Lonchura striata: one gene and its partners. The protein of the gene in region 3 interacts with the protein of the main gene of each other region in a pairwise test. Links are inferred from orthologs where the notes say so. Each region holds a gene or a part of one and is shown on either strand. Other genes may lie near its edges. The genes, in order: XIAP, SEPTIN3, CKS1B and MEOX1.

Evidence for each region.
Region 1: the proteins of CKS1B (region 3) and XIAP interact in a two-hybrid assay, tested with the Homo sapiens proteins (3 studies listed by BioGRID and IntAct). The two-hybrid records come from large-scale screens. The link is inferred for Lonchura striata from reciprocal best matches to the Homo sapiens genes CKS1B and XIAP.
Region 2: the proteins of CKS1B (region 3) and SEPTIN3 interact in binary tests that used the Homo sapiens proteins (3 or more experiments, as listed by UniProt). The two-hybrid records come from large-scale screens. The link is inferred for Lonchura striata from reciprocal best matches to the Homo sapiens genes CKS1B and SEPTIN3.
Region 4: the proteins of CKS1B (region 3) and MEOX1 interact in binary tests that used the Homo sapiens proteins (3 or more experiments, as listed by UniProt). The two-hybrid records come from large-scale screens. The link is inferred for Lonchura striata from reciprocal best matches to the Homo sapiens genes CKS1B and MEOX1.

What each region holds. Positions count from the first base shown.
Region 1 is NC_134616.1:9,795,291-9,803,457, forward strand, and holds the start of XIAP (E3 ubiquitin-protein ligase XIAP), read left to right. Parts: upstream 1-4,829; 5' UTR 4,830-4,914; intron 4,915-8,167. Other genes in the region: THOC2 (THO complex subunit 2), read right to left, coding at 3,811-3,872.
Region 2 is NC_134607.1:58,163,959-58,172,041, forward strand, and holds the start of SEPTIN3 (neuronal-specific septin-3), read right to left. Parts: upstream 3,343-8,083; 5' UTR 3,059-3,342; coding exon 3,049-3,058; intron 1-3,048. UniProt on the Homo sapiens protein: Filament-forming cytoskeletal GTPase. May play a role in cytokinesis.
Region 3 is NC_134635.1:907,921-914,052, forward strand, and holds CKS1B (cyclin-dependent kinases regulatory subunit 1), read right to left. Parts: upstream 1,636-6,132; 5' UTR 1,604-1,635; coding exon 1,545-1,603; intron 1,226-1,544; coding exon 979-1,225; 3' UTR 781-978; downstream 1-780. Other genes in the region: FLAD1 (FAD synthase), read right to left, coding at 1-193, 295-435.
Region 4 is NC_134627.1:5,975,984-5,984,127, forward strand, and holds the start of MEOX1 (homeobox protein MOX-1), read left to right. Parts: upstream 1-4,777; 5' UTR 4,778-4,792; coding exon 4,793-5,171; intron 5,172-8,144. UniProt on the Homo sapiens protein: Mesodermal transcription factor that plays a key role in somitogenesis and is specifically required for sclerotome development. Required for maintenance of the sclerotome polarity and formation of the cranio-cervical joints.

The DNA of each region.
Region 1 (8,167 bases), on a different chromosome or scaffold from region 3:
GGGCTGCCAGGCAGTACAGCTGCACTGATTTAATGGCTTGTTGCTGCAGAAATGGGACACATTCACAAACACTTCTGCCCTTCTCAGTTGCAGTTTGGGCCCTCCCATCAGTTAGATCAGTGAAACTGAGAAACCTGGCAGAAAACTGGTCAAAACCCAAATCTCCAGCCACCTCTGCAAGTTGAAGCACTTACTAGGAGGCCACAGAGGCACCCTGCTGACTGAAGACAAGGTACAAGCCCTCCTTTCCAGTAACAAGCTGAGTGATTAGTTCATCTAGTCTTAGCTGAGTGCATGAAATTAAAATCAAAACAGTTGCACCTTCACAAGACACAATCTGGTAAGTGTTCATTTGACTTATTACTCTGACCTGGTAGCTCATTGCTGCAAGCTTATGATGGAGGACTTCCCCTGCTCTACTAAAACCTACATCTCTTCATCTGAAAGTAAAACTGTCAAAAATATTTTTAAAAAAACACAAAATTACTTTTGAAAACCACAGTTTCAAAATTAAATTTATTTTGGACTATGATGGGATAGATTCTGAAACAGTGTGAACAAGTTTGCATGGCAGAGGCAGCACCGGAACTGAGACCTCCCAACTTGTACACCACGTCCTATAACCTCCATTTCACTCCCACATGGGGATTAAAGCAGTAATTATCACAAAGTGCATGTGCCTGCTAGCATTTAAGTATATGCATAACTCAACTGATGCAGGTAGTTCTTTAGCTGAGATAAAGTACAATCAAGTGCATTTTGCAGATAGGATGGCACAACTAAACCAAACTCTCTTTTGCTGATTCTCAGCCCTTCACTTGCATGAGCAATGTTACAGTGTTGAGTTAAAGTAACGACCAAGCTACAAGCGCCTGAAAGATCAATTCCCAAAATTTCACATTCACAGAATGTTAAGCTTCTTCAGTTTACCCTGAGGCTTAACATAGTGTATGAACTGCCAGGCAGGTACTCTATTAAAGCCCTCCATCCATGCTAAAGGCTCCTTGATGCGTTGAATCTCTCACAAAACAAGGTAAGGTACCAGTTACTATGTAACTTATAAATGCCCATGTGGGCTGCAGTCATAGATCAGCATCTTCTTGTGGAAATAATTTTCCTTCAAACACAGCACACACAAGTAGGTCTACAAGGAGTCCAGACTGAGCAGCGTAAGTCATCACACTTGGATTCCAACTTCATTTGCACACCAGTATCTGGCAGTAGCAAATAAATGAATATATTTTAATAAAGTGTACTTAGAGACAGATCTGAACTTGAAACTACCACATTTGTGTATTTTTATTAGATACTATTACACGTCAGTAGCTTAATTAATTAAATCCAAAGCTTGTACAGTTTTGACCGATGTCTCTGAACAATGTCTTGGAAGCAAATGGTCACTGCTGCATTACTAATTAACATTATGACACTCTTAAGACATAAAATCCTTACCTTCTGATTTCTGGATAGCACTGTTAAATCATGACAAGTTGATCACATAATCAAAAATATCACACCATTGAAAAAAATAAAATACAAAAAAAACCCAAAACAAAAAAAAAAAGTATAATTATCTTAGAGTATCCATTATTAATCCTAGTAGATTAATAAATTCTAGTAGAAGTTGAAATGCCAAATTGAAAGAAAGCATTTTCTTCTCTCAATATAGTTTCATATTCCCCCAAAACATAGAAATGTGTTCTCATTTAGGTAACTACTGCCAAAATACTATCTCAACTGATCTAGCCAGATCCTGTAAGCCATTTCATACTCCAGCAAGTAAATATTTTTCCATAAGAACTAATCTTTTTTAGCAATTATGAAGGGTTTTTATCCCCCTAAAATGCCTACCAAAAACCTTCTAAATTTTTGTAATTCTTCTATTTGCTAGTAATGTCAGTTTTGCCATTCTGTAGCATCCTTCCCCTCCCCACTTTTCTAACATCATTTTAATGAATTGTCCTCACTTTCAACCACAAAGACCAAGGGTAAACTTACACCTAGACGTAATTTTTATTCTTGGGCATACTCGTATTAGACAAATAATTCAATAAAAATAAGTAGTGTTATTGCATTTATTCCCTTTTTACTTTAATGCTTAAAAACACTTCATGTGTTTCATTCTGAAATGATAGCATCCCAGCTGCGTTTTCCTCTAGTTAATCAGAAGATAGGAAGTTTTGGAAAAAGAAACAAAAAGTTACACACTGAAGACTCTCCCATTAAAGCTGTCTTCCTAAAAAAGTTCTCTAAATATTGTCTACATGCATATACTTTAGATTCCAGAAAATAAGTTCATGCATATTTCTCAAATTTCTAAAGCTACCACTGCAAAACCTGACAACTGTTATCCAGACACAATTACATTTCTTTTAAAACATATGGCCTCATCTGCAAATTGCTCTTTAAGTCACGCCTGGAACACCATTTAAGCAGTCTTCCAAATGAAGTGCAAGTACCACAAATACAAGAATCTAGCTAATCATTTTGTTTTATTGGTCCCACAGCAGATGAACACTCTCCTCCCACCCTGTTAAAGAAGTCCTGCTCTGAGGGGAGAGAACAATCCTAGAAGGTTTTATCATGGTCACAAGCCATGTAAGTTGCCTCTTACAAAGCTCAGAGAGCTGGGAACCCAGTGAGAACAGTGCAGTTGCCATTACGTGATCAGCTGTGAAATGTCTGTTCTCCTGCAAACTCCACCAGCCTCTCAACATGTTCAGCTTGTGTACTAACACAAATAATGGCTCCAGCATGATTCAAACTAAAAATTACACGGCTATAAAGGGGGCCCCCTTCACTACAAAATGGTGGCTCTGGAAAGAACAGTGTTTTGTGCCGGGATTCTCTACATTCTCTAATCTCCAACCCACTGCCATTTCCCCTCATGCACAAAGAAAATTCATTGCCAAAGCTGCACAAGCTTTCAGAAAACACGAACAAAAGAAAATAAAATGAGTGATTATCAGGAAGTGTTTCTCTAAGTGATCCCTGCAACATTCATATTTAAAACTGAAAAATTTAAAATTTTGTTGTTTCTTACAACAAAAAGCAAAAGCACATGGAAGAATTAAAATAAAAGCGCATAAAAAACATATAGCTAGTGCAAAGAACACCCCTGTTAAGCTAACAGAGAAACATGAAATGACCAAACTGGTGAAGCGCCCTTTGAAGAGCTGTACTCCTGAAACACAACATTTAGTGAACTTGCCACATAAAGATGGCTTAAAACAAACACAGGCCCACAATGGAAAGCTCCTGGCACACCTGGATTAGTTTGAGAGGTGGCAACCGAACCCCTCCGTGAACAAACGTTACTTTGTGGAATAGAACAGGAGTGACTACCTAACCGTACTCTGCCTGGATCAAAGAATACAGGGCCAGTCCCACCGGAATCGGTAAAAAAGCGGGAACGGGGGCTGAGGCCTCTGCCAGAAAGGTCAGTACTGTAGAGCAGCGACACAGGCACGCTTCGGGGTCCGCATTACCTCGGGGGGCGGCTGAAGATGAGCCCGACCCCCGCCAAGCCCGGCCCGGAGCTGGATGGGGCGCTCGGGGCGCCGGCACAGCCGGGCCCAGCTACGGCGGCCGGGCGTCGGCGGAGGGCGGCAGCACCCGGCCGGACCCGACGGGAGAGCGGCCCAGGCCCTCCTCCCGACCACGGCTTCGACCCCACGTCCAGCAGCAAGGACGCAGCCCCGGCCGAAGGCCTCTGCGCCGCCCCCCAGCCTCCCCGGGCCGCCGAGGCCCTCGCCCCCCTCTCGCAGGCCGCAGCGCCCATCCCTCCCCACGGCGAGGCCCCGCACTCACAACTCGCTCTTGCCGCCTTTCTCCCAGTTCTTTATCCACTCGGCCGGGAGCAGCGCCGCCATCTTCCCCGTGCAGCGCCGAGGGCCCGGATGGAGCAGCGGCGGCGCCGGGTCAGAGGGGACGGACGGGCCGCGAGAAACCGCGGGACGCGGCCGCGCCGAGCGGGGAGGCGGCGGGGCGGACTGCGCCTGCGCGCGGGGGCCGCGGGGCGGTGCCACGCCCGCGCGCGTGCGTTAGAACCGCGGGGCGGGGCGGGGCGCCTCGCGCGCGTGCGCGCTGAAGTCCCGGGGGCGTCGGGCTCCGCGGGCGCGCGTTAGGGACGCGTGGTGCTGGGGGCGTGCGCGCGCGCGCGCGCATTAGAGCCGCGTGGTTTTGTGTGTGCGTGCGCGCGTTAGAGCCGCGTGGTTGTGTGTGTGTGTGTGTGTGTGTGTGTGTGTGTGTGTGTGTGTGCGCGTGTGCGCGCGTTAGAACCGCGTAGTGGTTTGTGTGTGCGTGTGCGCGTTAGATCCGCATGGTTGTGCGTGTGTGTGTGCGGTTAGAGCCGCGTGGTGGTGTGATGGTGTGCGCTGGTTAGAGCCGTGTGCCGGTCTGTGTGCGCGGGTTAGAGCCGTGTGCCGGTCTGTGTGTCCTGGTTACAGCTGTATGCCGGTCTGTGTGTCCGGGCTACAGCCGTGTGCCGGTCTGTGTGTCCTGGTTACAGCCGTGTGCCGGTCTGTGTGTCCTGGTTACAGCCGTGTGTCAGTCTGTGTCTGTGTGTCCTGGTTACAGCCATGTGTCAGTCTGTGTCTGTGTGTCCGGGTTACAGCCGTGTGTCGGTCTGTGTGTCCTGGTTACAGCCATGTGTCGGTCCGTGTCTGTGTGTCCTGGTTACAGCCGTGTGCCGGTCTGTGTCTGTGTGTCCTGGTTACAGCCGTGTGTCGGTCCGTGTCCGCGTTAGAGCCGCGGCGCGCGCGCGTTGGAGGCGTGGGGCGGGTGCCCGCGCGTGGCGCGTGCGTCGGTGCAGCGGGCGCATGTGCGCACGCGCGGTGCGGGTGCGCGTGAGGCGCCGCCGGCCCCGAGCACGGCGGAGCGGCGAGATGTCTGCTCGGAGAGAGGGCGAGAATGGTAAATCGTTTGAATAAATAGGCGGTTAAAAAGGGATTGTGTAAAGCTTGCTATGACACGTCTAAATGGTCCTTCCGATACAAGCACTTAGGACAAGCAGTTGTATGGACCTCGTATTCCGCGTGTCGCCCCTAATGCGTGTGCCTATTTTATTACATGTCGCTTGTCTCCATTAAGTTTCTGCAAGTTGTTCTGTGTTCCCTTCAGTTGCTAATTGGGATATTAGGGTTAAAACACTCCATTTGGTCGGGTAGCAAATGTTTTTAGTCAGACATTTCTCTTTCCTCTCAAGCCACCTACGTTCTCAGTCTTGTACATGCTTCCTCCTCTACAGTAGTGTCAATTGTTTCACAAATACAATGAAACTTCAGCAAATGGGGAAATTGAAATAAAATCTAAAGGTGAGGCCCCACAGCCCCTGTGCCGTTATCGGTGCCAGCACTGCTGTGCTCGCTGCCTTGTTCTCCACTCTGAACTGAAACGTGCAGCTTGCTTGTTTTATATATATATATATATATATAGGTGTAACAGCTTTCCACTCGCAAAATAGCTCTGATCAGGAAGTCTAGCATTTCAGCAAATCTACATAATTCTGCCTGAGACAGGGACTGGTGTTGTTTCAGTTACCATTCTCAGCCAGTTTCTGCGAGCTGTGCAGAATATTGTGCAGAAGGCTGCTTATGAACAACGCCTACTTCAAGGGGATCCCTTACAACCCTAAACTCTGCAGTAACACAAGGAGTAAAGGAGGCAGATTCTCTGCTTCTCATACTTATATTTTAATTATATGGAGACCACATTCCAGGCATACTATATGCAGTGTAATAGAAGATACACTCAGTTTACAAATGCCTAATCTATTTCTGATAGATTATTTTTAAAATAAAAATTCAATAAATATATTGAAAACATATGTATAAATGATAAGCATAGAATTGCAGGCCCGAGGAATAAAATGAGAGGGTGTTATAAGCAAATGCAATAAGTCTATTTAGAAGATAAGCCTAAGAGTCACATAAACAGAAAACAAGAATCTAACAAAATATATTAGGTGCAAGGATGTATGTAGGAATAGTTATGTAAGGTCTGAAGATAAAAATTTGAGATTTTGCCTTCATGATGAGGAGGAAGAGGCAGTCATGGAGAAATGCAGTAGAATAAAGCCATCAAATCATTGCAGGACCAACAGATTAATTCCCAAGTTTACTTAAGGAATTTAAACCTCTTATTTCTTGAAGTATATTAGTAACGGACTGGGACAGGCTGAAAATAAAAGACAGTACATGCAATGCAGAAATACACATGACAGAACCAGTTTTAAAATCTACTCTGAGAAGAGTCTTGATTCCACAGCATTTCTATAGTACTATACAAAACCTTTAGTGGTTATTTAACATAACATTTAATATTTATATAAAATACATTCTCCTTAATTAATATGGATTCTATATATGACATATAAGCTCTAAAACATAGACATTGCATTTTGTATTGCATAAAGTAATGTAGGCAAAGCAAAATATTTTTAAAATAAGTATGTACCAATTCCTTCTCAGAATGACGTATTTTTGACACAGAGTAGTCTGTTCCACACTATAAAGTCATATTCAGTTCTGACTTATCCTTGCTTTTGTGGTGGACATCTCTAGATAGTGAAATGTCTTTCTCCGTAGCACTTGATGTTAGCTGAACTGGGAGGAATTCCTAGGTTAAAAAATAAGACTTATATTTTAGTTCTGTAAAACAGCCTTTATAGTTCATTCTTCATCTTTTCATGAGGCTTTTATTTGCTAGAAAAAGCATCCTGGGCATCCTCAGATTTGTATCAATAAGTCAGAGAACCTTGTTAAAAGCCAGGACAATTTTGTGTTTCTGTTGTTTCAACAGGTTTACATTTACCTTTCTAAATAATGGAATAAAATAAAATGTTGAAAAGAAGGAAGAATGATGCCTGCAAATGCAGGATATGTCACAGCACAATCTTAAATCACCTACTGTGCTTCCTGCCTGAATAAAGAAGTGCTCTGAAGGCTTTGTCCGAGCTACATTAAAGGAAATGCCTCTGTCACCACTATGGTAACAGCTGGATAGCAGCAGGAAGTTATTTAACTGAACAGTAAATACAAGGTTTTCAAGGCTGTAGTACATTATCCAGCAAATACATAGCTAAAAAAATATCAGTGGTAATTGGATCTTATAAAAATGTATTTATTCTTGGTTTTCAAAATAAGTACTACAGCCATCTATTGGGAGAGCTGGAAATGTACAAAAGCAAAAGAAATAAAACATCCAACAGCTCTTTTCCTCTGTATTAACCAGTTCCATTATTCATGTGACAAGGCACAACTTTATTATCTGCTTTGAGGGTTAAACAATTGAGTGCTTTACTTTTTCTGCACAGACAATTAAGAATTACTTTTTGGAAGAAATTATTTTTTTATTATTTGGCTTTAGTATCATGTCCACGTAAGAATTAATTGTTCTAAATTCCCCTTTTTCTTTTAACAGTAATTGTTTCATGATTGTACCAGTTCTTTTTCTGTAGACATTTCCTAAATTCTCACACAGAAAAAATAAAGGTACAAAGGAGGCATGAGTTCACATTGTTAAGATGATTTCCATTTGGTAAAAGCTGTTTAGGCAAGTAAGAATCTTAAACATTAGCTAATACTGGCTGTTTCCATTCATCTGGACAGCTGAAATGAGAAACATTCTTAGACAGTGATTGTCAAATACATCTTGCAACTTTTTGGTTTTTTCATAGCTAAACTCAGTGTCATTGCATCATCCTGAGCTATAAAATGTCCCAGATTTAATGAAGATCACACCATTATGGAGAGCTTTGCTTATTTTCAGCTCACAGAAATCAGCATTCTTTCACTCAGAGTTGTTTGCTTTTCTTACCACTTGGCAGCACAGGCAAGAGCCAACTGTAGATTTAGGTTCCATTTCCAAACGCAATTGGCCTGGATATCTTCTGGTCAGGGCTTAACATGCACATAACTTGTTGGTTCTGTGTATGTTCATGAAACCTGCTGCTGAATAATGAAAGGCAGAAAGACTAATTAAACTCTTCTGCATAATGCCTGTGAAGAAGAGGCTTTGTTAGAAAAGGTGCTGGAAGCAATGCCTGGAGTAATGTGATTGGAGCAGGATTTGGTAGGCAGCAGATCAGTTATTTGCTTGACAGTATGTTTCACTTATTCAATGTGTATTTCTCCCCCATCAGAGCCTATCACTCTAAAGAATCCTG
Region 2 (8,083 bases), on a different chromosome or scaffold from region 3:
CTTCATTCGTCCTCTCCCAGGCTGCCCACATCACTGTGTCATGGTTGTGTGGCTGTGCCGTGTCCCTTATGCTGCTGCAGCATTCTCCATATACACCCCACACAGCCCTGCTGGGATCCTACCTAGCCCTAAGAATGGGAGAAGAGAGAGAGAAATGGAACAATGAGGGAATTAGGGACAGGGGGCTGTGGGCCCAGTGAGGCACTTGGCTACTGGAGAAATGGGGGCAAATAAACTCCAAAGGTGGAAGGGAACAGGTCAAGATAGGAAGAAAGCCTAGCTGCGCAGCTTCATGGGATGGGTGCAGAACATGGGCCATGTGGGCTGTGACCCTTTCACTGCCTAGGTAGTAGCTTTTCCTCAGGGAATCTGTTACTGTCTCCTTTATTCCTTCAACATTTGTTCTTATACAGGGAGAAGGAAGGAGGGAATTTTCTGTCATCCTCAAGGCTCACTAAGAGGTTCATAACTCATCCCTCAGTCTCACCAAGGAAAGCCTTGCCCAGAGCCAGTAGATGTTGCTAACTGCTGTGGACATCATAATACAAGACCATTCCTTTGCAAGCTTCACTGTTGGAGCCAGGAGCTTGCAGTGACTAGGGCAGATGTTTCAGATTCAGGTTCTTGGGCAGCTATAGAAAACCCTGAGACCAGGAGAAAAGATTTCCCAAAGTCTCCTTAAATATATTTCCTAGATTTTATATCAGAACATTCAAGGTGTCAGGATAAGCCACCTACTTTTCTCCTCTAGGCCACTTGACGCCTTCTCTGTGTGGGGTTCCTTCCCATACAGCCTTAGGCAGGGAAGTCCCCATTTTGCAGAAATTTTCCCAGGGCTCATCTTTCTGCATATGACTTTTGACCTTTTGCCTCCTACAGGTGAATTCAAGGAGCCAGCTGTGGAACAGCCTAGTGCTGGGGTGTGCAAAACCAGGACCAGAACTGTAAGAGGCACCTTGAGACATGAAACATGCCTGCCTCTTCTCCTGGGAGTGGCTCTGTTTTATGTGCACTAAAGCTAATGGTGCTAGGAAGGCTCCTGACACACTGAGTGGCTGGTCAAGGGGTGGCATTCTGTGTCCTGGGCACATCCCGTGGCCCTCGCAGCTGTCCCCTGTAATGAATGCGTTAGAGGGCACTACAGCCAGTATGGCTAGCAAAGGTTAACCACTTACCATCTGCTGTTTGCAAGGCCTCCCTTTTCCTTGCTGCTTTGTTCTCTGTGCTAAGAGAAGCTCATTTAAGAGGGCTGTAGCTGGTGATACCACCCTGCTGCCCAGATCCGATATGAGGTGGCCCTGGGCTGGGCATTTAGGGAATAATATCTGGCTCACAGGAGATGCTCCATGTGACTGGATCAAGGGAAGGCATAGCTTTTGAGGCAGGGACAGGAAGAACCAGAATGAATGCCCAGAGAGGTCCCCATTGTCCCAATTAGCTCCTGCTTCTGATACCCATTGAGCCACCCCAGAACCTCTTCCTGGAAGGCCAGCATACGTGGCCAGCAGCAGACACCACTACTGCAGCTCACCCTTCATGCTCTGATGTTCGCAGGACTTGTGTGGGGACAGAGGTGGCCCTGCAGGACCCCTGGGGGCTCAGGTAGTGGGGACCAACATCTACTATGTCCTGATAACCCAGATACAGTCGCATCCCCTCCCCCTGCCTTCCCATCCTTTGTCTGGCAAGAGGGAGGGAGAGCTGCACACAGTGCTCACCACAAACCAGCTTCCAGCAAGGAAAAGCTATTTAACCCCCACAAAACACATGGATGGCCTTGCTGCAGCTCTCCTCCAGTGTAGCATGAGGTTGTCCCTCTGCAGCTGGAGGCAGTGATCCTCACACACATCTCACCCCAGCCCCTTCTACCCATACGGTCCTGGACCCACAGTCCCACTCCCTGTAGATATGGAACAGGGAGGAGGGATGAGTTCAAAACCTGAACCTGCAGATCTGAAGGTGACTGGCAGAAGCAGGCCCTCAAAGGGGCCAGGATGCCAGGTTCCTAGTAAAGAAAGCAAGCAGCTACTCCAGTAGTACAGCCTCCCTGGAGCTCATGGGCATCATGGGCTCCTTGCTTCAGATCTGCAGAGGTGCTGGACTGAGCATCTCTCCACTAAAAAAATACCTTTCCCTACTCAGTTCCTATGATGACCCCAGGGCATGTCTTTCTGCTGTGCAGGGCAATAGCTGAGCCCCACCGCCGGATGTACTGCCTGACCTCAGAGCACAGAACAGAACCATTCTTCTTACCAGATCATTTTGCCTGGCTTGAAGATCATCCCAGTCCTCTGGGCTGCTGCAGCCTTCCTGACAGCAACCTTTCTTCCCCTCAGCACTCTGCAAAGAGCTTGGGCAAAAGCCCAGCTTGCAGTGAAATCTAGGGCAGCATGTGCTGAAGACTCTCTGGAGATGCAAAATCTGGAGGTGAAGGAGCTGGACACATCCCCAGCCCAGCCACCACAGCCCCAGCTATGCCCTTGGTGCTGCTCTCCAGCTCTACAGTCTGGAGATACAGTCCTGTATCCCAGTTCACCCCTTGAGTGGCACAGCTATATCACAAGGCAGGAGGATGCTGAGCACCCCTGGACCGTGGTAGCCACACCACCACAGCTGCCTGTGCCCCTGCTCACATGCCTGCTGGCTCCTGTGCAGATGCCCAGGGAGAGAGAGGCACAGGACATCCCCACTGCCTGTCACTGGCAAGGGACAAGCCAGGTGCTGAGGAGCTTGTGGACACTCCCCAGCTGGATTATCCCTTCCTTTCAAAGCAGTGCCTGGCTCTAGCTACTCTGCATCAGCACCACAACCAGCCCTGCTCCTTCTTCATACAAAACTGCTGCCACCAAAAAAAAAAAAAAACCAAAAAAAACACCAGAGGAAAGACAAAAGAGAGAAAGACCGATTTCTCCCACTGCCCTCCGGGGTTATCCTTCCTCCATGCCCAGAGCTGGGCAGCGTGGGGGCACGGGGGAGGATGCCTGCGCAAAAAGCCCCAGCGGTGTCCCTCTGGCGTTGCCCAGCCCTGCCAAGCCCGGAGCATCCTACCTTTGAACATGAAGCTTCCTTTGTCTCCGAATCCTCTCCCAAGGGGGTGGGTCTCCCCCCACTTTTCTAGCCTGACGCTGATGAAGCAGCACGGTGAACTACAAAGCTCCACTTGCTTTTACCTTTGTCTTTCTTCCCTGTGTCCTCTTCTCCCCCTTTCTCCTTCCCTTCCTTCTCCAGTGGCTATTTCAGCAGAGCGGGGATGCTGGTGCTGCTCCTGCTGCCATCGTCATGTGACCTGAATATTAAACATCTCCGCAAAATCTCCCCCCGCGCACCCTCCCCCGGCTCCATCCCAGGCCCCGGCTCCATCCCAGGCCCCCCCAGCCTCCCTGACTTGCGGGGGGGTGCATGGCCTCGGGATCGGAGGGGCCGCTGCCGATGGGGCCCCCATGTCCTGGAGGGGCCCTCATTGCACACCCACACCCCACAGGCATTTTCCTGCCCTTTTCCCTCCCAATTCCCCAGCCTTTTCAGCATCTCTGCTTGTTTAGGGAGGGGCATATTTAACCCTTCACAGCTTAGTTCCGGCGGGGTTAAGAAACGGTGCTCTTTGCCCCTAGGTATTTCGTAGGATCAGGGGATTGCAAAATCTCTTGCTTTCCCAGAGGGAGGAAATTGAGAATGTGTTGGTTCATCAAAAGAGATTTGCCCTTCAGCTTGGCTGTGAAGGTGTGAGAAACCTTTTCTCCTCCAGCACCATGATTCCTGGCTGTCAGCCCAAGGCGCAGCGGCAGAGGCAGCGCTGTCCCCTCTGCGTGCATGTGTGTACAAACATGTGTATGGCTGCGTCTGGTGAGCACGGACAGGTCCTGCCACCTGGACCATGTTGGGGTACACGGGTCATATCCCTGTGTGCTCTGGCAGGCACCTCCATGTGCCCTGTGGATGTGTCTGTGCCTAGAGAGCTGTGTGGATGTCTCTGGCTGCTTGCATCTTTGGATGGGGATGCCTTTTCCCTGCTTTGCATTTCCTTCTCCTACATCTGTGAGCCCTGGCTCCGGCATGCACTGTGTCCCTGTCATGCTGTGCTGGGGCACCAACACATGGGAATGCTCTGACCCTCCAGTCAGTGGGATGACAGGAGCACCACGTGTTCCTCCACAAGACAACACCCCTGGGTGATGGCCAGGCTGTGGGATGCCTGGCAGACTTGGCAAGGGTTTGGGGTTCCTCTTTTTCAAGTGCTCTGGGACAAAAACTGCACCCACTGCAGGTTACAGGAACATTTAGAAGTAATTGTCAGCAGCTACCCCGGGCTAGGCTGAGCAGTGGACAGACTGGTTTCCGACAGGCAGGCACTCCAGCACCCAGAAAATGTCCTGACATGGCAGCCACAGTTGCCCGTCTCCCTGCTGGCTGCCAGTCTCACAAACACACGGGCTGTCCTCCCAGCAGCTATTGCCCACCCATGATTCTGGTGTGGGTCAAGAGGAAATTACTCTAAGGGAAGGAAGCCCCCATCCTCCCTCTCATCACCCTACCTCTTCTGAAGGGTCCTGCCCCATGCTGGGCTCCACGCCATCGCCGAGGGACCCCTTGGTGCCTCCCTCCCACCCTCCCTCTGCCAGCCCAGCCCAACCCGTCAGGGAGACCCACCGTAGCGTGGTGGGGCACAGGACAGCCCCATCTTCGCCACCGAGGTGGCCTCGGCCCCGTCAGAGCTGCCGTGCCGCTGGGGCCCCTCGGCCGCCACGGGCCGGGGCCGCGGGAGGATTGGGGTGACGGGGGCCGGGCCCCGCAGCCGCTGCCAGGGCAGCGGCCCGGCGGCCCCGGGGGCACGGCGCAGGGTGACCGAGAGGCAGCTCCGCTTCGGGCGGGCAGCGGCGGGGCCCGGCGTGCGGCTGGGGCTCCCTGCGGCGGACAGGCAGCTGCGGTGAAGGCCCATCTCCTCCTCCATGGCGGTCGGCTGTGGCTGGAAGCAGAGGTGCAGGGCAGGGGCCGGGGTCCCGGGCGGTCCCTGCTGTCAGGGTGTTTCGGGGTGCAGGGCTCCTGGGGCTGCCGTCATGCACATGCTTGAGCCCCCACCTCCAGCCCTGTCCGGCCAGCCCGCCTCCAGCTGGGACAATGGGGCTCTTGTGGCCTGCATGGCTGGCTCCCACGCTGGGTGCCATGACCACTCCTGCCCTTGTCCTGCACCTTCCTGACCTCTGCCACCAGCAGCCCCACAACATGACCCCGTGCCCTGTTCCTATGGCAGGAGGTGGAGGAGTGATGCAGACCTGCCAGGTCAGGCCTGTGCTGCCTGCTTCCAAGGACACTGGGTGTGATTAAAAAAAAATAAATAAATATTTGAATTTTTGAAATGCCTTCCCTTCCTCTCTTAGTTTTGTCCCCCCTCAAATGGCATATTTCAGTGCAACAATTTATATTCCACTGCACAAGTTTAGTGATCACTTGTTGGATGTTCTTCCAAATTGACACTTCATTCCCTTATGCTGATTTTCTTTTGCTTCTTCATTATTATCATTATTATGATTGTTTCTTAATTTTGCCAGCTTTGTGGCATTTTCAGGGTCAAGAGAAATTCAGCTTGCCACTTTACACCTTTCTCACTGTAAGAAACTTTGAAGGGCAACATAATAAACAAGGAGGAAAGAAGAAAGGTGTTTTGGTGGCATGGGATGAGAATATGAATGGTTTGATGAGCAAGTGAGAGCAAACAAAAGGAGAGACAGGCACCCACAGTGTGGCAGGGACAAAGATTGCATTATTTCAGGTGACCAGGGCTGAGGGAAGTGGAAGAGGAATCACCATCCAATGATCCACATCATTACTGGGAATACTGGTGGAAGGCAGAGCTCAGGACAGTGCAAGTTCTCTGCTTCCTTAAGGGCAAAGAGACAGAAAACATGAAAAAAACCAACCTGATACTTGTAGTATTTCCAGCAATAATGACCTTCTCTGATTCTTTATGCAGTTTAATTCAGTATCTGTAACTATTTCATTCTCCCCTGAGGTCTTTCTGGCAGCACTCATCCCACACAGGAGAAACCATCTCAGTTTTCAGGCAGCATTTGCCTTTAACTATTCCCAGACAGCCTGGCAGTGTAGCTGGCACAGGAGCCAGGTGGATGGAGACCTACCCTCTTGTAAAGGAAACCTCACTGCAGACTGCTCCTTGCTGCCTGCCCAGTGCTAAAGGGAGGCAGCTCCCAGGGGAGCAACAGGAAAACAAAACTTCAACCACACGGTCTGTCACACACTTCCACTGGGGAAGCCTTTGACACTGCTGACAATAAAGTCCTTCATAGCCATGGAAAATACCTGGCTTAATACTGATTGTGTCAGGACTAACAGCACAAAAAGTAAGCCAGAGGAGATGAACAATTAGTTTCCCTCTAATCCAGCCCTCACCCAGTTGCTGTCTTCTTTTGCTCAGTTTCTGCATTGAGTCACGGGCAGAGTGGAGCTCAGCACAGGCACGGCAGCACTCAGAGGAGAGCACAGAGCAGGGGAGAGGGGACCCCTGTGAGTGCAGACTCCCCTCCCTACAGTTTAACTTCTTCCTGACTGCTCCAAGCCCCTCAGCTCCAGTGGAGAAGTTTTTATACTACCTCACAGCTCAGCTGTTTCCATTTACAGGGCAATCCCACCTATCAGGGAGTTGAGGTGAGGAAGCAGGTTTCCCAGTTGGTGTTTGAAGATATGGCTGTGATGTGCCAGAGGGCAGGGAATGTGAGCTGTGCAGGTGAGGGTGGCACACCATGCCATGCAACCCAGCCCCTGGTCGTTTCCATTTCACAGCCCCAAGTTATAAAAATGTATCTGTTTCAGACTACTCCTGCTCTTTTGAGTCTTTGCTTGCCTGGGCAAGTATAACTTTGGGCACAGCAGTAATCCTATTCACTGCATTTCCCTCTTAAGTGAGACTCCCCAGTTAGGGGACTTGCATCACTGTATCTGTTACCTGGCTGAATGAAAGGACTCTTGACTTTCCTCTGTCTGAAACACCGCCAGAAAGCTCCTGCCAGTGTGCCTGGTTTTGGTGTGGAAAAGAATGGTAATGCAATTGCAGTCTGGTAGATGAAATGTCCCAGGAAGACCCAGGATATCTGCAGGATGTCCTGATCCATTCCTTAGAGCTAAAAATTAACTTGGATCCCCAGAGAATTACCAACTTTCAGGCTGCACCTTGTGCTTTGAGCCTTTGCTTGCCAGGGCAAGAAAGCTTTGGGCAGAAGAGTAATCCCACTCACTGCATTCCCCTCCATAAACCACTCACAGCAGCCCAATGAACTCTCCTTCTTTCTTTGAGAATGGAGGAGAAAACTTCCTGCTCCCAGGTTCACAGGTGAGGCTGAGTGACACAAGCCAGGAGCTGTGGCAGATTTTCAGAGCTAGCCTGAGGAACCCCTGCTGCTGAAAGGAGCCATTGGGGACTAGAGCACAGAGCCATAACAATGGAAGGACACTGGAGATATGAGTTGCAAATATACTGGCTGGCACAGGATGCACAGATGTGTGCACATAGGATGGTGGCACCAGCTGACATACCTGGGATATGCAGGAGTGGGACACACAGAATCCCTCTGTGTCCAGAGCATTCATAGATAGCACCATTGCACCTACATGCATGCAAAGGGTGCCTGTTGGGGTAGGAGGAGAAGAGACAACTTTCTGCCACAGGCTCCTTGCTCTCTCAAACCTCCCTGTATACACTGGGTATTGCACTGGGCTGTCAGAGAGAGAGAGGATGGGGATATCACTCTCAGCCCCAGTGTCACAGCTTCATAGAGCACTTTGGTGGCTGGTCATACCTGTGACACTGCAGAAAGTCTATAAACATGGGATTTTGTGCCAGACTCACCTTATACGGCTTGGGTCCAGAAAGCAAAGGTGGCACAATAGGCCCATTTAGGTGGCAGGCTCAATGTTCCTTGTCAGAGACATGCAGGGGAAAAAAAAGGCTGAGGGATGCTTCACAGCTTTCATTGTGAAACAGTTAAGAAAGAGAAAAGCTGTAGAGCTTTGCAGTGCAAGTGACTGAACAAGTGCAAGTAGCTTCACACACTATCCCATCTCCCTCCTTGAC
Region 3 (6,132 bases):
CGAAGGTCACATCATCGTGCGTGGGGCCGATGCCCCCGGAAGTCAGCACGTAGGTGAAGCGAGCAGCAAAGGCGGCCACCTCACTGGCAATGGCCTCCACGTCATCGGGGACCACGGAGATCCGGGCGACACTCACGCCGAGAGCACGCAGCCGCCGGCACATGAAGAAGGAGTTTGTATCCTGCGTGTAGCCCTGAGGGGAACGGAGGCGCCCATGACGGCGGGGCGCCCCGACCCCAGCCGCAGGCCCCAGCCCGCCCCACGCCCGCAGCCCAGGCCCACCCGCGGCCGCACCTTGAGAATCTCGTCGCCGATGACAATGATGCCGGCGGTGCTGGCGGATCCGCGGGCCGCCGCTGCGGGGCCCGAAGCGGCCATGGGGCGCCAGGCGGCGGGCCCGCGCACTCGCCCCGCAGCCCGCAGCACCCACCACATGGGGCCGCCCGGGCACCCGCGCGCACCGCCCCGCGCGCTCACGGGCCGGCCCGCACGTCCGTCACGCGGCCCCGCCAGCTCCCATTGGCCGAGAGGCGGGACCTGCGGGGACGGAACCATCGCAGGGGCGGGCAGAGGGGGGTGCCGGTGCAGCTCCGCCTCCATGGCCGTGCCCGCTGGGCCGGGGCGCGTGCGGCCCCCGTCTCCGGTGGGCGCGGGGAGGCTCTCTCTTCCCCACCTCCCAGACCCCGGGGAGCCTCCTCGGGAAACCCCCGGGCACAGACTCCGCGGTACCGGGACCCCTTCGCCCTCCACCCACCTCCCCCGGCACTGCAGACAAACGGCTCCCAAACATCACTTTATTAAAATTTTGAAGGCATCGCAACGGGAAGGGCCTCCGGAACCCGGGCCGAGCAGTCAAAACGACGCACAGGCAGCGTCGAGGGTCACGGGGTGAAGGCCCCGAGAAATGCCGAGGAGAAGAAGGAGAAAGGTGTTGTCTCAATGTGGAAGGACTGGGAGCTTCGGCAGACCAGGGGCCACTCACTTTTCCGGCTTCTTCGGCAGTGGCCGTCGGAAGAGCAGGATGTGGGGCTCTGCGGGGCAAAAGAGGGGGTCAGGCCGGGCCCCCTGGGCGCCACCCGCTGCCCCGCGGCGCTCACCTGGCTCGTGGATCATGTAGTGGACCCAGCCCTGGCTCTGCTGCACCCCCAGGTTCCGCCACTCCGACTCCGACATCAGGTGGGTCTTGGGCACCAGCTTGGCGATGTCCTTGGGCAGCATCACGTGCCTGTAGCGCCGCACCTCTCAGTCAACACCGGGGCACCCCCGACAGCCCCTCACTCCCCAGGACGAAGATTCCCTACCGGAGAGCTGCGCCGTGACCCGATACAAAGCCCTCACCAGGCCCCCCCGCCTTACCAGGGCAATTCCCCTCTCGCTCCAGCAGGGAGCCACGACTCGCCCACCGCTGCCCTCCCCCACTCGCGAGCCGTTAGTCGCCGCTCCACCCCACCGCGGCATTTCCCTCCCTCACCGAAGCAAGCTTTAACCGACACCCCTGCATCCTTATCAAGCAGACGCTACCGGGACCCCTCCCCGCTGCGTACCGGTACTCAAACTCCTCATCGTCGTACTTGTCGGAGTAGTAGATCTGTTTGTGCGCCATGACGGGCCCGCCGCGCCCTCCCTCGGCGGCCGTTGGCGCCCCCGCCCCCCGCGCGGCGCTTTCAAACGCCGCCGCCCCGCGCGCCCATTGGCCAGCGCCGCGCCGGGGGGGGCGGGGCGGGGCGGCCGCCCATTGGCCGGCGCGCGCGCGACACGGCGGGGCCGCGGCGCCGCTTCCCGCGGGGCCGGGCGCGGGCCGCGATTGGCCGTCGCGGGTCACGTGGCGCGGGCGCGGCGGGGCCACGCCGGAGGGGCGCGGGCCGGAAGTGAGTGGCGGCGGGGGCGGCGGGAGAGGGGGCGCGCGGGAGCGGCGGGAGCGGCGGCGCGAGGCCCGCGCGTGACCGATGGTGCCCGGTGAGCGCGCGCCGGCCGGGGCGGTGAGGGCGCGCGCGGATGGCGGAGGGGGGACCCGCGCCGGGCCCGGGAGCCCCGGCCAGGCCCCGCGGTGCCCCCGCGGCCGCAGTGTCGCTGGACTGAGGCCACATCGCTCGCCGCCGCCGCCGCCTTCCGCGGAAACGAGTGGGGGTTCTGCCGCCGCCGCTCCCAGTGCTGTGAGGGCCGAGTCGCCCTTCCTAGCTGCCTCGTTTGCCCTGCGTGAGGGAGCCTGGCCGTGGGGCAGGCCCGGAGCCTCCTGCATGCCGCCCGACGGGGGTTGGAGGAGCCGGTGTCGTGCTGTGCTGAGGTTCCGGGGTGACCCACCCGACGTGGCGGCCGGCTGCGTGTGCCTGGGGCTCAGGCTTGCGTTCCCCACCCCGTGCTGGTGCGAGACACGGGACGGACACCGGCTGTAGAGGTGCTGCAGGGTCTAGGGAGAACCCCGAGCCCCAAGACTGGCATGACCTCCGGCAGGAACGGGACAGCGGCTGGGTTTGGAGGGTTCCTCGCCCTCTGCGGGGCTGGGCTCTGCCCTCCTGCCTTTCGTACGTCAAAGTAAGGCAGCACTGAGTACCTGGAGCTTACTCAGCTGTTGTGGAAAGGGGTAGCTGCTCCCCCTTGGAGATCTGTGTCTGCTCTCCAGCAGTGTTGTGTCCATCTGTTCTTGCTTCTCCCCTCGAATCTCTTAAATGGGGTCACCCACACAGATTATAGACCACGGACATGGCTTCCAAGGAAATGTGACCTGGGCCCTGCTTGCCACGTTGGCGCTACAGAAGTCTATGGGCAAAGGGCACTGCTTTGTGGTGCTTGCCAGGGCTGCCCTGGTGTCAGCCTGTAACAGAAGGGCTGAAGATGCCATCTCCTCTCAGCCAAGGAGGGCTTCAGGATCCACCTGCTGCCTTTTGGTGGGGGAATGCCTTGACTGGGCACCCTGTGAAGCTGTGCATAGCAGTGTTCCATCCTCAGGAGGGACACAAATGGGCTGTGGTAAGGCTGAGCACCCTGGCTCTGGGTGATGATGCTCCTTCCCTGGCACCATCCTCGGTGCCCGATGTCCAAAGGATGTGGTCGCCACCTCTGCTTGGCGGTGGCGTGGTACTGCAAGGGTCAATCTCCACTGCCATGGCCAAGCATAGCTCTCCTTTATCTTGCTGCCTTCCAAGCTACTGGCGACAGCTGGCACAGGCTGCAGATAAAGGTACAATTGCTGCCAAGCAGTAAATCATGTCTGCTGCCCTTCACTGCTCCACCAGCCTGGCCTGGACTGCCTCACTAGGCAATGGCAGTGGGAGTCAGAAGAGTGAGAAAAGTGCTTTGCTTGCCTTGTTTTCCCCTTGCAGAGCTTCCTGCCTCTGCCAGCTCACCACTTGTAGAGTCTTTCCACGACTCCTGTCTTCACCAGTTCCCCTGGGAGGAAGGGACACAGCCCTGGGGGCTCTGTCTATAATTTTGCATCAGGATGCCAGCTGAGGGGATGGAGGAGGGGGCAGTTCTGCCCCTCTGGTTGCTTTTGCTCTCCATCCTTGCATGTGGCTTTCCAGTACTGGTTTTTAGGCTGGGCAAGGATCGGTTTCAGCACTTTTCTTGGGTCACAGAGTGACTCTAGGCCCACAATGCCATTTGCCAGTGTAAGCAGGGCTCAACCTCTTCTTCCTGTCCCAGCGCATTCCAGCTCCATCTTATTTCCAATGGGAAGAAGGCAGCTTCCAGGTTTCTCTTACTCTTTGTGCCAGCAGCAGGTTGCATGGCAGCCACAGCCCCATCCACCTGTGGACAGCATGGAGGAGCAGGGTCTGCCTCTTGGCACCGTGGCCCCCACCCACCTCAGCGGGCTGGGACAGGGCTGGCTAACTCCCTGTTTGTCCCCGAACCGCAGGTCGGAGTGCCAGACGAGAGGGGCTGTGTGTCTCTGCTCCCTGCCCAGGGCCTGCCCTGCCCTCCGCCGGCGATGGAGTATGTGGTAAGGACTTCGGTGGAGGGCTAAGTGGCTTCGGTGGTGGATCCTGCCTGCCTCCTCTGCCTTCTGGGAGGTCTCCAGCCTCTTCCCCAGATCTCCACTGGTATCTCCTAACCCCCTCTTCAGAACGAAGGAGAGGTTGTGTGCAGGAATGCGTAAATGTTGTTCGATGCTGCTGTGATGTGTGAGGGAAAAATCAGCTATTGGCTGGATTTGAGTGTTCTCCTTTGCTTTACCCCTGCCTCAGAGGTTCAGCATTGACTGCAGTTGGGCAGAGGGGGTCTCCTGCCCAGGGCGAGGTCTGTATGTGTAGCCATCTGCACCTTGCTGCAATTTCTTGCCAAACCACTAGTATTTTCCAGGCCTCTGGCTCCCAGGTTTTTTCCAGGGAGGATGTTGGTAGTGGAGCCCTGAGCATCCCCACTCTGCTTCTCTTCCTTGCCCCGGCTGATGTGTGAAGTCCCACTCTCAGGTGCCTGAAAGTAGTCCACATCCTTCTGTTTCTCATGATCCATTGTCTTTCTGTGGTGGCAGGGCACATGGAGCAGCTGGGCCAGGATATGTCCCCAGAGCCCCTTGGGGGCAGTTGTTCCAGCTGCTCTGCTCATCCTCTGCTGCAGGGGCAGGAGCTCCTGGCATCTGCGTGGCAAAGGGAAGGGCTGCAGCCTGTGGGATGGGGCTTGGGACTGCCTGTTCAGGCAGGGCTGGTGTTCTGTGTCTTCACATATTTCCAGGTTTGCCTTTTGCACTCGGAGCCCACTGGGAGGGAGCTCTGATGCCCTGGGGTGGACTCTGGGGTTGAGGGAGCTGTGATGGTAGCACCTCTGGTCTCCAAGGCCTGGGAGCTGCAATGCGTCTTGTAACAGGCTGTTGAGTGATGTGGGCAGACTGGCCTCGAAGGTTCTGAGAAAATCAGGAATGACTCTAGCTTATAAAAGCAGAGATGCGTCTGAGCAGGAGCTTCAGCTGGGGAGCTTATCAGCCCTTTTCTGCCTGTAGGTGATGGCTGCTCCAAGCCCTGGGGTGGTGGAAAGGGGCCAAGGAGACACTCCTGCCCCCTTGCAATTCCATTCTGCTCTTATCCTGGGGGAGCATCAGGGCTCACAGAGCTGCCGTGCCAAGCAAACCTAGGCCCACATCAAGCAGTGGCCAGGCCATCACGGGCAAACCCCACTGCTCCACGGCCACTTGATACTGCCCAGCCAGCTTCCCCTGGCAACAGGGCTGCACTGGCCCCTCACTGGGCCAGCAACTTCCTGGCTCCGGGCTTCCTGCTTTTCTTTAGAGGAGTGGTGCTGCGGCCACAGGAAGGTCACAGCACTGAACAGCCGGGGGCCCCTGGAGGGGACAAGCACTTTGTGGAACAGCCAGCACAGCTCTCTGCCTGTGGGACCACCATGGCTGAGCTGGGGGGCTGGCTTTCACAGAGCTAGTGTGCATGGCCAAGGAGGTACATCAGTGACTGGCCCACTCGCGTGTGCTGCTGCCCCTCGCATCATGTAGGTGCAATTTCCAGCCCTGTTCTGGCTTTCCTTTCCCTGTCCCCATGGCAGTGTGCCAGGCTTTGTGAAGTGGGGCAGGCAGCTGCTAGTGCCAAGCAGTGCTCCAAGCAGGGAGAGCCTTTTCCTTGGCCTGGATTTACCCAGTTTTGGTTTGGTGGACAGAGCACCTGGTGGTTGGTAAGACTCTGGCTTGTGATGCATCAGGGGTTGGGTTCTGTCTGAACTCCTTGCTTCATCCTATAGGTGGTAAAGGGGGGAGAGCTCTTGTCCCTCAGTGGGACCATAGTGGAGTGGGGAGAGCTCTTGTCCCTCAGTGGGGCCAAGGCTGTGGAGGGCAGGACAGTCGGGTTGGCCCAAGTTCCTGCTGCATGCAAGTGCCTTGAGGAAAGGGGAACAGGGGAGACCTGCCCTGAGCCCCCTGATCCACAGGTGGGAGTGTCACACAGCTCCCCGAGGCTGCAGGGGCCAACTTTGCCCCCAGCACGTTCTTGCCGCCCGCTCCCGCTAGCTCCGCCTGTGACCTTGATTTTTCTGCTCCAGATAAGCACTGCGTCCCCACCCCTCGCCGGGAGCCCCTCCTGCGCTGCGCCCCAGCCCCAGCGCAGCCCGCGCCGCGGGCAGAGCCTGCCCCGCCGCCTGTGAGTCAGCACAGCTCTTCCGATCAGCCGCAGCCCCTTCATCTTTTCTCCCGGG
Region 4 (8,144 bases), on a different chromosome or scaffold from region 3:
CATTCCCTTTTGGAAGCTTCTCCACAGCCTCAGGTCAGTGCAGTGCTCTCCTGGGGGTCAGTGCCTGGCAGCACAGAAAGTCTCAAATTCTCACCAATATTACACTTCTGCTATTCTTTTATTCTTCCAGACAGGCTGAGAAAACTGTTCAAATGAGTGATAGATACACAGAGCCCATCTCTGGGCCTGGCCTTTCCTCCTCAGCTCTCACAGCTGCTGCAGCCCCCTTCTCTCTGTTAAAGATACATATTATAATATTGGCTTTTTGCATATGTTAAAATATATTTTCCATGTGTAGTGTTAAAGTAACTTTGTTCTAAAAATATAGTTTTTATTTCTGTTGTTAATTAAACTGAGTGAAATAGCTGATGTAAGTATGCTTGTGTTAAAATGCCTGCTTGGATGGGATAACATCCAATGAATATATGAAAAAGACACCTGATACAGATCTGCCAACCACCAGCACTCACCGTCTGAAGAGAGTGCAGACCAAAGCCCAAAAACTGGAGGAAATAAGAATACACTAAAACCAAAAGGTATTTAAGGGATATCCCCAAAAGTAACAGTGTGCTCTTGCCTGAGTGCAAAGATGCACCTGGCCATAACAACCTTTACTCTATAATCCTTATCTCTTATTGTGTCCTTAATCTCCTATTAAAAAGTTTATTAAACTTTTAAATTTTCCCAAGAAAGTGAACATGTTTTTCACAAGTGCTGCTGTGGCTGCCCTTGTCACTCCTTCTCTGGAAAAAAACCTCTGCTGGGTGTGCAGAGGGCAGAAGAAGGGTCAGCTTCTGGGGCTGCTCCTTAGCTGGGGAAATCCCACAGAGAGAAAGCTCAAGGATAAATGGACAGAGAAAAAGCTCAAGGATAAATGGATAGAGAAAAAGCTGAAGGATAAATGGATAGAGAAAAAGCTGAAGGATAAATGGACAGAGGAAAAGCTCAAGGATAAATGCACAGAGGAGAAGCTCAAGGATAAAGGGAAAGAGGAAAAGCTGAATGATAAATGCGCAGAGAAAAAGCTCCAGGATAAATGCACAGAGGCAAAGCTCAAGGATAAATGGACAGAGAAAAAGCTGAAGGATAAATGGACAGATGAAAAGGTGAAGGATAAATGCACAGAGAAAAAGCTCCAGGATAAATGGATAGAGAAAAGCTCAAGGATAAATGGACAGAGGAAAAGCTCAAGGATAAAGGAAGAGAGTTAACAGGTCCAGGATAAATGCACAGAGAAAAGGTTAAGGATAAATGCACAGAGGAAAAGCTGAAGGATAAAGAAAGAGAGGAACAGCTCCAGGAAAAATGCACAGAGAAAAAGCTCAAGGATAAATGCACAGACGAAAAGCTGAAGGATAAATGCACAGAGGAAAAGCTCAAGGAAAATTCCCTGCCTCCCTACGGGAGCGCTCCTCACCAGCCCCACCTCCCCATGCGTGCCATCCTCCCCATGCATTTCCCAGCGGCGGGCCGCAGGGCTGTTGACTTTGCGGAGGTTGTTGATTTTGCGGAGGTGGTTGATTTGGCGGAGGTTGTTGACCCTGCGGAGGTTGTTGACCCTGCGGAGGTTAAAGGCACCAAACGGGGCTCGGCAGGCGGGCTCCCGCTGTGTCCCCGCAGGAGCCGTGGGAAGATGCCGCGGCCCCGGCCCCCGCCGCGGCGCCGAGTGGCGGCGGCAGCTGCGCGGCCGCGGAGCCCCGCGGGCTCCCAGCGCAGGGGGCACCGGGGATCTGCTGCTCCCACATCTGGGATGCAGCAGCGACGGCGAGAGCTGTCCCGGCGATGAGGGCGGGGGGGAAGACAAACGCTAAGCAATAGGACTGAGAAGCAAGCTCCGGCTTTATTCAAAGATACCTTAGCTTGTATGGGGTATTCTACAGGCATGGGCAGCGGTAAGCTCTGACCGCTTCATTTACAAAGGGCTTTGTTTTATTTCTCCTGCGTGCGGTTACAGATGTAGCTAAGTTCTCTCTCCAAGCCAAGTTTGTCATCTCTGAGCCATGCCTTCCAAGGACAGAGCATATCTTTGAGGCTATGCCTGTTCTTATTATCCCGTTCCCAGACCTTGTACCACTATGCAATTTCCCAGAAACAGAGACTGGTTTCCAAGCTGTGTATCCCAAGTTCCACAAAAGCCTGATTCTGGGGCCTTAGACAGAGGTTTTTTGGAACAGGTATTCCATAGAATCATGGCCTTGTTCTAACAACCATTCCCCAACACCCGAGTGGTCTCACCTGGAGGGAGACGATGTGGGAATCCCTGCTGGGGATCTGATCCTGACCCAAGTGGGTTTGGAACTAAGGGACAATCCTCCTTTCTTCTGTCCCTGTGTGAAAAATGCCAATCAGTTGGGTTTTTTTAATTTTAATAATAATAAAATGGTTATAAAAATAACAATATAATCACAGTAATAAAGTTTAGAGTTAGGACAATTACAAGACAATAAAAAGCAAAGAATTACAGATGTCTGGATGCTCTCGGACACTAGAAGTGTGCTTTGTGAACAAAGGAATAACTTTAAAAGCAATAGCCTGTTGTATATTCATATATCTCATACATGATGCATAAATTCTTTGCAAATTAAGAACTTTTTTTGGTTTTGTCAACTTCTTCTCCTTAATCTTGTTGGTTCTAGAAAGACAGAGAGAAGGCAGAAGAATGTTTGTCTTTTCTGATAAGGAGGCTGTAATTTTTTATGGGCCCCCTTCGCTACATCTCTGTGTGAAGAGTTTCTTGATTATTTCATCTTCTTGCTTGATCTTGTAACAAATCCTGTATTGTAGAGTTTCTATTTTAACATTATGTTGTAACCTAAAACTACATTTAACATACTACGCAAGAGAATTAATACAGCATAACTTTTTAACATTACACATATAATATTTATTGTAACATTTGTGGAAAGCTAATCATAAAATATGCATTTTTCACACCTGCAAGGACAAATGTTTGCTAATTAGAGAGATCTTTTTGTAGACTGAAGGCAGAACTGCAAAACATGTGAATTCATGCAAATTCTGAGTGACACATGTAAGTGAAGTGTTATACATATGTCAACACACACACACACATAGAGAATATAAATTAAATATTCTGCATGGGCAAAACCTTCTGGACTCTGACTTGGATTCTGACAGTGCCTGAAATATGTGCAGCATTCACAAATTCCTCAAAATCTTTCAGAAAAGGAGTCTGAGGGTCTTCCTCCTGCCTGTGAATATGAAATGCTTTTAAATGTTTACTATTTAATGCAGCAGAGCAACAGATTTAAGTGTTTAGGTGAGTTCTTTCTAGAGAATTAATTAGCTCTCAGATATTGAGAATTTTGCATGAAAATTTAGATTCCTGTGAGAGAAAGGAATTTGATGTTCCTGTTCAGAAGGATCTAAACGAAAATAATTTGATTTCCTGGAAAAAGGCCAAGTTCTAAAAACCAACAGATATAACAGCATAAACACATTCCCCACCTCACCCAGATTCCATTGAATTTTACAGTTCTGAACGATAAAAAAACCAAAATAACTTCAGTATCACTTCAGCTCTTGTGAAAAATGAAGACCTCATGTCTGTTAAATCCCTGTGCCCCTGAGACAGCACAAAACCCAGCAGCAGTGGTGGGAGAAGGGACAGAGGCACACACAACGTGGAGCAAGGCCAGGGGAGTATTTGAAATGGTTGCAAGCAGATTTCTGGAAACATGGAACACATGCCTACCTTAATTGTCATTAAAAATATTAATAACCCTGGCATAGCAGCGTTTGGGACATCCTCAGCTGCCACACTTCTGGGAAAAGGGGATTGAGAACAGATTCCCTGTTAATGTCTTTTCAGCTGGGATGGCTCTAGGGCCTAAAAAAACTCTGCTTTCTGTTAGGAAAAACTATAAAATGTTCAACAAAAGATGAAAAACATGTCTTTCATTGGCATAAAATCAGGACATTTCCTTGCAGGAGGGTGAATTGAAAATTCCCTAGAAAGTAGAATACAGAAAGAATAATTGCCACTGGCAGCAGACTCCAACCCTCGGCAAATATATGTGTTACAAATCTAACAAAACAAACAAATATTACTCAAAGCCTTGCATGTGTGTACAAGCCAGGTTTAATATTTTTTTTTAACCTTAGGATTGGGCTTTAAATTATATATAATTAGTGAAGTCCTTTCTTACTTCTATTTCCCACTTTAGTTCTTGAAATTTGGTGTCTATTGAATCCTGTTTTAGGGCTTTTTCTAAACCCAAGACGGAGAATTTTGTTAACAGTGCAATAAAAATAACTTCATAGTGTTACAAGGAAACATTAAAGACTTTTTTTTGTGTGTGCTGCTCTTTCCCTCGAAAAAAAAAAAAACTACAGACATTGTTTCTTTAAAAGGCTCCATCTGCAAATCCCATTAGATGTGCATATAAGGTTTCAGATGATTAATAGCTGCCTGCTTTGCTTTGGTTGGAGGGGCTGAGGGTATGTGTGTTAACCCCTCCCTCCCTTCGCTCACATTTCACTTCACAAACTTGCCACCGTCTCCCCGGCACAGTATTTAAAAAGTGTTTCCCTCGTGCCCAGCACTTCACCAGGGAGCAGCTCATGGCGTAATTCTGCTCCCCCAGCCAGGGCAATGAAGACCTTTAGAGCCAGAGTTGCTAAAGCAGCAAACCCGCAGCAGCACCAAAGCCACGCGCAGACTGTTGTTTAGGGAGGCGACCTGTGAAACTCGGGAGAGTTTCCCTGCGCTTCCCCCGTGCCTCTGGAGGCTGAGCGGAGCAGGCGGGAGCCGAGGCCGGCAGCGGCGCGGATGGAGCCCGGCAGCAGCGGCTGCCTGCGCAGCGCGCAGCGCCCCGCGCCCAGCGCAGCGCCGGGGCTCGGCCGCGGCCCCGCGGCGCCCTTCTCCTTCCAGCAGAAAGCACTCTGCGCCGCTTACCCCGACTTCTCAGCCTCCTGCCTGGTGACAGCTCCGCACAGCTTCCCCCAGGAGCAGCGCCCCTCGTTCCACTGCCCCGAGTGGCACCTGGCAGCAGGAGACAGCGCGGGACTGGCCCTGGCTGCTGGCGAGGCACAGGGCAGCAGCCCCAGCCTGCTGAGGCTGCCTGTGCCTCTGGAGGAAGATGAGGCAGCGGCGAACCCTACAAGTGACTCTGAGAAAAAGCCATCCCGAAGGAAAAAGGAAAGCGCAGGTAGGTGATATGAAATCAGGGTTGTGGTAGACTGCAGGAGATGGAATGAGAACACCTGGTGAGACTGGGACTTAAGAAAGAAAGCTGCTGAGCAAAACATTCCATAGTATTTGACTGGGGAAACTTTAGATGGTAACAGAACTGTTATTGTCTTATTCTTATTCTTATTCTTACTCTTATTCTTACTCTTATTCTTACTCTTATTCTTACTCTTATTCTTACTCTTATTCTTACTCTTATTCTTACTCTTATTCTTACTCTTATTCTTACTCTTATTCTTACTCTTATTCTTACTCTTATTCTTACTCTTACCCTTATCCTTACCCTTATCCTTACCCTTAATTACTCTTACTCTTACTCTTACTCTTAATTACTCTTACTCTTACTCTTCTTTTTCTGGTCTTTGTATTTCACTCCTGCACATCTTGGGTACTGAACATTTTACTCTCCAGCACAATGCACATTTGCTGTAACTGAGCAGGAGTCACATGGCATGTGCACACAGAGCTGAATTCTAGGGTGTGGAGTTATCCAGTCACACCTGCCATTTGTCTGAGCAAAAGAGAATGGCAGAGAGCAAAGATCCCTCATCTTGAGCTGCCTGTGCTAATAGGGAATGTCATATTAGGAATTTGACATCTCAGTTTATGGTAAGAAGTACAAGAGGCAAAGTCTTCCTTTAAATATAAATTCTGTTTGGTCTCACTAAATGTCAAATATTTTAACCTCAGAGCAGAAGGTTCAAAAACTTTGCCCATCAGTAAAATGTCCAACAATGCAGAAAATGTACATGGTTTTCATTGTGTCATCCTAGCTAGCAAAGAATTCTTTTTACACTGTAAAAATCAATAATTTTGTAATTATACAAACTCTAAGTTGCTGATAACTCAGATCCAAATCAGTGAAATATGCATAAAATTGTTTTTTCTTAGGAAGTTGTTACAATTTAAGATGCTCTTATGCATTCAAATGCCACAGTATTCACATACAAGCTACAGTGTGCTTTTCCCCACAGTCCTGCCAACAAGTGGAGAATATTTTCCAGTAGCCTAATTTCACAGGCAGAGAATGCAGGGATAAAAATATTAATTGATTGGTTTCTAGCTTTTGCAGACATTTGTAGAATTTAAGCTCATTTATACTAAAAAAAGCATGTTTAGGCAAAATTTTCCCAAATACAAAGAAGTTTAAATAAAATAGCAATTTAAAAGGTGAACAACGCTTTCATTAAAACATCAGCTAATCATAGGTAAACAGCAGATTTCAGCTTACTCACATTAGAGGGATATCTTTATCCTTAAAGAGACTGATACCCTCTTTTAAGTGGAAGAAAAACATTCCTTTATTTTCTCTTACTAGCACTCTTCACACTTCCTTTTCATACTTGCTGCTGTTCCCTACTCTCTTCCTTTCAGGGAGCTGTAAGCAATGACATCCCTGAGAGGTCTGGGCTTCCACCTTCCAGTGACCACTGCAGCCCTGGGGAGGGGCAGCTGCTAAATTCCACCCAGCATGGAACTGGTTGGGATCCTGGAAGGAGACACACTCCTTGGGAAAGGCACACATCTGCCTCTGGCTCCTTTCCTTTCCTTTCCTTTCCTTTCCTTTCCTTTCCTTTCCTTTCCTTTCCTTTCCTTTCCTTTCCTTTCCTTTCCTTTCCTTTCCTTTCCTTTCCCCTTTCCCCTTTCCCCTTTCCCCTTTCCCCTTTCCCCTTTCCCCTTTCCCCTTTCCCCTTTCCCCTTTCCCCTTTCCCCTTTCCCCTTTCCCCTTTCCCCTTTCCCCTTTCCCCTTTCCCCTTTCCCCTTTCCCCTTTCCCCTTTCCCCTTTCCCCTTTCCCCTTTCCCCTTTCCCCTTTCCCCTTTCCCCTTTCTTCTTTTTAAACTGGCTGTACAGTAGAAAAAACCTGTCCAAGATGATTTTGTCCTTTCACACGTTTGTCATTTCTCACATTCTGTTGTCAAAACTGAAGCAGCTGGGCCACGTTTCCACTTCTGGAATCTCACAGAACCCCAACCATGGACAAGGATTATTTCTCTTGACAATACCCTGTGGCACGCAGTGTCCTTGAGAGATTCCTAGCTACACACCCTACTCTGCCCCAGAAATACCCAAATATCCATTTTAAATTATTCCCACTGTCTTTTGGGGATGCAGACTGGTGGACCGCCCCTTGGAAAGGGAATCTGTCCCATGTACTTTGCACTGGCTGCTTGTTTTTAGTTTCTGCCCTGTGCTGAAGGCTTGGAGAGCTGCTGCACCCTCCACGTGTCCCTGAGGGCAGCAGAAGCCCCAGGGGAGGCTTTGGGCTCAAGGCTCCCAGGAGCTGGTGGCAAAGGTCCCAGCAAGAGATGCACACTTCAAATCCTGCTTCCCCCTGCTCCCTCCCAAGTCACACTTGTGAAATGTGATAGTGTGTCTGTGCAGTACAAAGGGGATTGTTCAACTGAGGGCAAAAACATGGGCAGAAACTTGTGAAGTTTTGTTCCTGTACATTCCCCATCTTTTTTTGTGGGTTTCTGAAGTAGCAGAAGCAGCATGGAACAAACCAAACTAATTCCCTGGAGTGGAAAGCAGCCCAGCTGCAGCGTGTGCCACACTGCTCCCTTGTGCATTCCCGGACCTGTGTTTGGTTTCTCCTTTTCTGATGGGCACAGATAAGGCCAGGTCAGTCACAAAACCTCACAGATTTCTCCAGTTTTACTGCTTTGGCCACCAAAATGACACCTAGAAGATGAAGCTGCACATTGTGCTCATATTGTTACCATTTTGGTTATCATTTCTGTGTAGAAATATTATGCTAGGACACACAGAGCTGCGTTGTGTACTGGTTACACACAAAAATTAAGTAACTAATTCTCAGCATAAAAAAACCGCTACTACCGTGTTTAGTTCAGGGAATCTAGCAGGAGGAGCAAGAGGGGAGAAAGAGTCAAGGAACTCACAAAACTGACTCCCTGAAACACTGGCAGTTTG